Xenopus tropicalis: one gene and its partner. The protein of the gene in region 2 purifies or fractionates together with the protein of the main gene of each other region. This does not show direct contact. Links are inferred from orthologs where the notes say so. Each region holds a gene or a part of one and is shown on either strand. Other genes may lie near its edges.

What was found. Proteins that work in one complex are often made in the same cells at the same time.
Region 1: the proteins of med9 (region 2) and med18 purify together in Homo sapiens (affinity purification with mass spectrometry; 6 studies listed by BioGRID and IntAct, counting the BioPlex papers as one, with this or other methods). This does not show direct contact. The link is inferred for Xenopus tropicalis from reciprocal best matches to the Homo sapiens genes MED9 and MED18.

Annotation. Positions count from the first base shown.
Region 1 is NC_030678.2:78,266,257-78,270,553, reverse strand, and holds the start of med18 (mediator of RNA polymerase II transcription subunit 18), read right to left. Parts: upstream 2,804-4,297; 5' UTR 2,650-2,803; exon of another isoform or gene 2,644-2,649; intron 1,695-2,643; 5' UTR 1,678-1,694; coding exon 1,605-1,677; intron 1-1,604. UniProt on the Homo sapiens protein: Component of the Mediator complex, a coactivator involved in the regulated transcription of nearly all RNA polymerase II-dependent genes.
Region 2 is NC_030685.2:15,709,642-15,713,898, forward strand, and holds the start of med9 (mediator of RNA polymerase II transcription subunit 9), read right to left. Parts: upstream 2,811-4,257; 5' UTR 2,729-2,810; coding exon 2,601-2,728; intron 1-2,600.

The DNA.
Region 1 (4,297 bases), on a different chromosome or scaffold from region 2:
AGCTTGAATGGCTGCTCCCATGGCTACACAGCAGCTTATTTATATAAACTATAGGAGCGTTCTGTAGCAAATACACCGGTTTTACCAGCGCAGGGCAACAGTACATTACATTTCAATTACTTTAAAACACTTTCATATTTTGGTGTTACTGTTCCTTTAAGCAACAAACTCCTTGCAGTACACATATTAGAAGCAGCAAGGCTTCTTTTAGCTCAAAAATGGAAAACCGATCTTATTCCCTCAATGCTGGAACTAAAAAACTTTATCAACCTCTCACAAACCCTTGAATATCACAATGCAATGGGACTCATGGAAGAACTTTACTGAGGCTGATATCCAGGAATTATAGCTAATAATTTATATTATTTGCTCTTCATATTTTTTTTTCTTTCTTCTTTCTCCTTTCTCTTTCCCCTGTTCTCTTCCTTTTCTTTCTTCCTACTTCACTTCCTTCTCTCTCTATGCTCTCTCTTCCTGTGATTCACGTACAGACACATTCAGTATTTGAGATACATATAGATATAATGCAAATCTTGAGAGTTAAACTTTTAGATGCAAAAAAATTGTCAATTAAAAAAGAAAAAAATTAAGGAATACAACCAATAACCAATACAAGAGGTAAAACAGGGTCCTGCTCAAAAGAGTTTACTGTAAAGTCATAGGATTTTATCAGTGCATGTCAAGGCACCAGTGGTTACCACTGGTGCCTTTCAGCACAGATGCCATGAGTTTGATTTTTATCTAGGCACTATCTAACAGGAATATCTATGCATGTCTGCATGTTTTTATTTTTCTCGAAAAACATACAGATAAACCAAATTTTAATTTAATCAAACCTTTGTTGTGTGAAGTTGATTGAGACTAGTGTTGCACAGACCAGCCTAAAATGTCTGGACCCAATGGCTGGGCATGATCGGGCTGGTGCAACACTTTTCTTGTTCTAGTCCTGACTCTACCCATGTACCACCCTGTGATGTCAGCATGTTGCAGCACTCCACTAGCTGGCTACCATCCTATTTATATCTTTATTCTGCCAAACCCCTCCACTCCAGTGATGCCAGGCATGTGTGGGTAAGGCATCACTAATTACGACCCTATAATAGCAGCTCCAATGGTGAGCAGAGGCTTTTGTAAATGACTAATAATTAGTGCTTCATCAGGTTGGCATTATATAAACATAATAAACAGAAAATAAATGAACTGCAGGACTGGCATTACTTGGGGCTAAAAAGAAATGGAATGATATGCCGAGACAGAAGGCTATTTTCTGTAAACGTGACCAAATACTATTTACATTTTTTGATAGCTATAAAATTATATACAGAACACCAGGATCTTCTGCATAGCTGTATGCGTGTGTCACACTTGGGGGTAAGGGCGGGGCACCAGGGCTTGTGCCGGCTGAGGCAGGGAAGACCGGGCCGTGACGTGACCAAATGCTATTTACATTTTTTGACAGCTATAAAATTATATACAGTGACTACTAGAACCATGTTTTCGTATACCTTGCTAAACAAACAGGGGCCTAAACAGACTTTTTGGTTAGAGGGGACAAACTAATACCATTAATACAGTAACAGTACAGTTTGTTAGGCTGTTCTTACCTTGCAGTAAGTACTCCATCATGTTAATAGTTCCTCCAGATACAGGCATTGTTGTGACTGGGGGAGCCTCCATTGCAAAATGTTAGTTCTCTAAATAAACAAAACAAATATATTATACACAATATTCATATGTTTACAATTGTAGTCAAGACAAGGCTGAATCTCCACTAATACTGCACTGCTTATGTTCTACTAGAACCCCCCTCCAGCCTGAACTTGTCCTGAATAAAAACAGAAACAATTGCATTCACTTTGCCAGTACAATGCTTCAGATTATTTTCCTACTTTCCTAGGTATGGTTTAATTTAGGGGTGCACCTAATTCAGGATTTGGTGAAGATTCTGCCTTTTTCAGCAGGGTTCAGCCAAATCCAAGCTTCAGGCCAAACTATATCCAAATCCTTAAAATCAGGTTACTTTTGCCTAATCTTTCACAAAGAGTTCAACCCCGGTGATTCATCCTTTCCTTCTCCTTTAACAATACCTGACATAGCACTATGTGCACAAGCCTCACATAGACATAAATGGGGGTCATCCCACTTTTAGATCTGTTAAGTAGAGTACTACCAGGCTAGCAAAATGTTGTTTTATTCCTGGGATGTTGCTCCCAGTGGCCTCAAAGGTGTTTATTTTTGAATTCCTGGCTTGGAGGCAAGTTATGGTTAAAAAAACAGGTGCACTGCCAAACAGAGCCTCAAATTAGCCAGTCCACATAGGGCCTACCAAATAGCCAATCACAGCCCATATTTGGCACCCCATGAACATTCACATGCGTGTGTTCCTCCCTAACTCTTTTTACCTTTCTATGTGGTTCATGCATAATAAGGTTTGGGGATCCCAACGTTATTCCAAAGTTATTAAGCAGGAAGTAAAACAAAGACTGTAAGGCCAGTCATTTCCTACTGAAAAGACAGCAATCCTAGGTGTTTTGTGTGTACATTTTTATGTAATAACTGTATATGCAGAGCTGTGTTTTCTTTTTACAATTCATTAACAATAAAGACACAGAGGTACAAACACGGCAGCTGATAAATACATACACTTACTAAAACAAAGTGCCCGACAAAATTTTGTAAATAAGTGAATGGAACCGGGATGCGACGGGATCAATTACTTCATTTAGAGCACAGCCAGCAAGCTCAAGCAGCTAATAAGTTAAGTTCCGGTGCCTAAGTGCACGGCTAACCCGCCATAAAACAACTCTCCCTCAAGTCCTCAGGAGGCTGGCTCCAGAACACCAGGAGCTTTTGCATTTGCGTACTGCGTGCGTGTGACGCACTTGGGGTGAGGGCGGGGCACCAGGGTGCCTGCTGAGGCACGGAAGACTGGGCCGTGACGTAGCACGCTTGTATGTGCCGTAAAGGAGAGGACGCTCGAAATAGAAGGTATTAACGCAGTCGTGGGGGGAGGGGGGTATTTTGCCCCTTATTTCGTAGGAAGCCAATACGATCTGCCAAAACCAAAAATTCCCCTACTGGTGGGTGATTAGATTACTGAAAATTCAGGACCACGTCTAATAAATACATGTTGCAGGGCAGCACTGATTGCATTTAAAATCAATACAGCCCTGCTAGCTGGATTTTTTAGACATGTCCCTAAATTTAAAGTAATCGGGCCACCCTACTACTGGCAACCATATATCTTAGTACAAATCATAGATCTTTACTTGCTCTTAAACCTGTCTTGGCGCAATTACAAATATGTGATAACATTGGTTAATGCTAGCACTGGTGGCTTAATTTTGACTCAATTATAACTTGCAAAAAATATGCAAGTCTGTCCACTTCTTGCTCAGAACAGATGACAATGGTAAAGCTTGAATACTGATTTTTGTCTCTTCAGGACCTGCCCTGTTTGACTCGGACAGCTCACTTTTTGGGAGGACTGTTTGGGGCAAAACTCCCTGCCCAGTTTTTCAAATTAGGGAAACAGGGCAAGACTCTCTTAGACTGACAGTTGCCAGTGGCCGATCACCCGTCATAACCCCACCCCTGACTTGATTGACCATGCCTCCATCACTCACCTGATTTATTGAGAAATTCCACCAAAACCATACTAGTCCCGCCCATCAGTTCCACTTCCTGCTGGCTGAATTCTCTGGATGAGCTGGGGAGCCGGCGGCCCTCCGTACACTACACTGTAGGATAGGAACCAATCAGCAGCTAGGCTGACCTGATAGGGAACTGAAGCCTGTCTTTGCTTGTGTGAGTGCAGGGTTGTGATTGGCTCTCCCCCTCCTACTGTGCTTCTGGAAGGGACCATTAGGACACGCCCACTCTTCATTTCACACTGGACGGAGAAGTGATACAATCTATAGGGAGCTCCAATAAAGGGGCCATTTTTACAGATAGGATTAATTTTTAGCACAAAGTGAAACCAGCACCTTATATTATTTATAATTGCCTACAAAATAAGTGTTTTTCTCATTTATCCAATATGTCTCCTTTAAAGGCACATATATTCATTGCTACAGAGCTGTGGTCACCTTTGGCTTTTCGAAACCCCCAAAACGTAATATACAACAATTCTGCCCTTCTTCTTTAGTGGCCAGGGGTGTTTTCATCATTGTTTTCATCAGTGTGCTTTTAAGAGTAAGTTTTCTATGTACCGAGAAGGCCCCTGGAAGAACTGCGCCAGCATCTGGCTTTTTTTTTTAATAGGTAATGCCATAATGTAGCTCTCCCATGTTTTAAG
Region 2 (4,257 bases):
AACCCCAACCTCCTATCATAATCATTGCCCAGACACGCCTTATACTGACACCCATGTCCCCCAAGCAGCACCCATAACCTTATGTACAAGCCCTACTTGCTACCAGTAAACTAACCAGCAGTTTCCCAGGCTCGCAGGATTCTACCTCCAGCCTATCAGAACTTTGCTCAGCCTTCAAGCCCAACGTCAATTCTAAAGGTGGCCATACACAGCCAGATCCTCTCATTCGGTGGGGTCACCAAACGAGCAGATCTGGGCCCACCACACTGGGTGGCAGCTTTTATCGGCCATAAATATATGTCGCTGACCAACACAAGTCAGTAATAGGGGGAAAGAATTGGGTCCAACTTTTGGCACATAAAATTAGCCAAAGGTTAGGATTTAAAGGCACAGTAACATCCCTGTCCTGCGATTATCAAGTCACATTAACAAATGAAACTTGGCAGGGCTTACTGGATTCCTATGTAGTCAGCTGCTTAGTAGTCATATCATGTCTGAGGGTTGGATAAATATTGAAATGAGGAGATCATACGGACGAGTATAAGCAGCCACTAAGCCCTAAAACGTGAAAAGCCACATTTATCCCAGAGGCTCCAGTTGGTCAGCCCTGCTTTCATTAAAGGGGCTCCTATAGTAAACACAAATTATCTATATATGCATAATGTACTATAAAGCGTTACTAGGGAAGATTCGGGCAACTAAATGGCCTGTGGGTCAGGTGGGGCCCTCCAATAAGTACTTAAAGCCCCCAGCCTAGGCAAAGGCTCCACTGCCTTCTTTGTATCATGCCATAATATCAATATAATCCATACCCTGTGTGTGATTGTTGTCCCACATAGCAGGAAAGTTATGCAGTACAAGTTGCACAGCACTGCTCCCAAACAAACATTAAGAATGCAGGAATTGTAGTTCATATCTGCTGGACAGACTAGAGCCTGACACCCCCGCCTTAATGGAACTGGTACAATCCTCTCTGCCTTTAGATTTCCCATTATGAGAGCTGTAGTCTCCTGCCGACGGCTGCACTGCTGCACAGACTACACGCTGCCATTTCTGAATGAAGGACACCTACTGGCTCTGATCCAGCTGTATCCCCCATAATGCAAATTCAGCAGTTTCTGTCATATACAGTTCATCCTTTAGCAATATTACATTGATTATTTGAGGCTGTGGGTTGGGAGAAATTTGCCATTTGCAGGCTTGGGCTTAGCACGTGATGCACGGCCCACACATACCCTGCGGCTTTACCCGTTTTACCCAGTGTGACATCACTTCCTGGCCCAGCTCCTTCCACCCTTATCATTATGACGACCCAGCTCAGCTACATCTGACTCTTCCTGGCCACTTTCTTTTATAAACTTGCCTCTAACCCACCCCCCTCTGGCAACATCAAAAGTGGGCAGGTAGGGCATGGGTTTATAAGACATGTTAACACAATGGGTCAGCCTGGGCTTGCGTGGGTTCAGGGCAGAAGCAGGTCAAAAACTCTTGTTTTCTCAGCAAATGCATATATGCTTGGTAGAAGAAACAGGAGGTAAGTGCACATTAGTACTTCCTGTGTCCTTGGCAGTGGACCCAAAACGGCCACCGCTAATGAGATGGAAAGTGCGATTCTGTAAAGGAAAAATCACATAAAGTGTTTCCATTGGGGCAAGAGTGGTCTACTCTTCACAGCAGCAACTTAAAGGAGAAGGAAAGGCTAATAGAGAGTTAATCTCAAGCTGCAGGCATACCCTCAGTTCTCTCAATAGTGCCCTTAAGTCTCCCCATATTTCTCCTGTTCAGATGATCAGAAGCCTCATAGGACAAAAAAAAAGGCTGAGTTCTTTAAAGAAAATTCCCATAAAGCCTCGCTCCTGCACCAAGACCAAGACTGGTGTACATGCTCAGTTAGTTAGACTATGAGTCAGCTTCCTGCTGATTGGCTCAGATCAAACATTCCTAAGGGGGGGGGGGGAGTTCTTAGCATTCTTGAGGGGGGGGACAGGAGAGAGGAGAAAGCTGCACAGACTCTGGCACAGGAAAACAAAGACAACAAACCCTGTTTCTTTTGATAGAGGACTCAGTGCAGCGTTTGTGTGAGTGCTTATGGCTGTATTTACATAGACCTTTCTGATAAAGCTTAACAGGAGCACCAGCCCGGGGTATCAGGTAAGTGATCTTAGTCACTTGGGCGGGGCGCTAACATTTTACCCCCCAATAATTCCCCCTTTCCTTCTTCTTTAACCCACCAACAGGTATTCCAAACCACAATCAAGTGTAAATAAGCCCTGCAGATATAAAGGGGTGTATTTATTAACATTGGAAGCCAACCTAACCAATCATGGGCACCATCCCCAGTGATGTTTGTCTCCAATGTTACCTGTATGGGGCCAAAGGGACACAGAATGCTACTGGCTGCAAAGGGAATGCAATAAAAGTACCTGCAAGTGGTGTCCAACTAAATGACAGTAAATACAAATACATTTATGCTACATACTAAAGCAAAATGACATTCCAGGCAACTTCCCATGATACACAAACACTGCTGGTTCCGACTGCTGAAACAGCTCAGTAGCGGGGCAGTGTTTCAGTTACAATGACCCCCAAACTAACTGTACCATTTAATGATGTCGTGCACCAGCGGTAGGAAGGTATACTCCTCTTCCTCCTCCTCTTCGGCAGCTTCATCCTCCTCTTCTTCCTCCTCCGGCTCCTCAGCCGGTCTCACATTGCCGCCGGTAGCCATGTTACTATCGCTGGCTTCACCGGCAGCACAAATACTGCGTCACAAGCTGTGCGTCGCGGCCTGTAGCTGAATACGGCGGTTTCGTAATGATGTCACTGGCGCGACCGCGGCTTGCGCGACGTCATAGATAAGGGCCCGTTCGGCTGCGCTAAGTTATTGACAAAAGGTTTCATTGTATATGGTGTTTGGTGATGGAAGTGATTCATTGAGGCGCCCTATTGCATGGGGCACTATAACAAGCAGCCCTTGTCACTTCAAAAACACCGTTGCATTATGGGATACGTTGTGACTAGTCCATATAGATTGTAAGCTCTACGGGGCAGGGACCTCCATCCTCTTGTGTCTTTGACTCTTAAATTATTGCAACTGTATCTTGTATTTATTTGTATTTATTGTTATACTTTGTATTTATCTATTATTATCTTAATAACCCCCTGTTATTAATCTATTCTTCTGTACTAGTGTGGTTACTGCTTCTAGCCCCTTTGGCGATTATAGACATTAGCATTAGAAACATATGTCGCTGGTGATGTTGCCCATAGCAACCAATCAGCATTAGATTTGAAGAGTCATAAAAGTTAGAAAACAAGAGTAAAACTCTTGATTTTTATGGGCAACATCAGTGGTGATTTTTGTTTCCAGCGTTAATAAATACTCCCCTCCATTTATTGACCAATAACCCTACTGTATCCATGGCCAGAGCTGTCGTTATAAGGTGGCGGATAAGGGACAGCTGCCCTGGGCTCTGTGCTCTATATACTTTTGTTCCCAAAAAATAGACAGCTAACAGCACTTCTGGTGTGGAAACTGTATGCACCAATTGCCATATTGTGGGGGTGTTCAGGGTGGCATAGCCCTAAAATTGAGCCCTGGCCATACAGCAGAGCCAGGGGCAGGTCTGGACTGGGATACAAAATAGGCCCTGGCATTTCCAGTACACAGAGGCCCAAACAGCCCCCCCACCAGCCCAATAAATAGCGACTGTCCATGGCATCCTACAGCAGCCCCTGAGGCATTTACTAGAACCCACTGATTGCCAGTCTGGGCCGTAGCTGGGGCTACAGATGGGTGAGTAGCTGGGGCTACAGATGGGTGAGTAGCTGGGGCTACAGATCGGTGAGTAGCTGGGGCTACAGAAGGGGGAGTAGCTGGGGCTACAGATGGGGGAGTAGCTGGGGCTACAGATGGGGGAGTAGCTGGGGCTACAGATGGATGAGTAGCTGGGGCTACAGATGGGTGAGTAGCTGGGGCTACAGATGGGTGAGTAGCTGGGGCTACAGATGAGGGAGTAGCTGGGGCTACAGATGGGGGAGTAGCTGGGGCTACAGATGGGGGAGTAGCTGGGGCTACAGATGGGGGAGTAGCTGGGGCTACAGATGGGTGAGTAGCTGGGGCTACAGATGGGTGAGTAGCTGGGGCTACAGATGGGTGAGTAGCTGGGGCTACAGATGGGGGAGTAGCTGGGGCTACAGATGGGGGAGTAGCTGGGGCTACAGATGGGGGAGTAGCTGGGGCTACAGGGAACGATT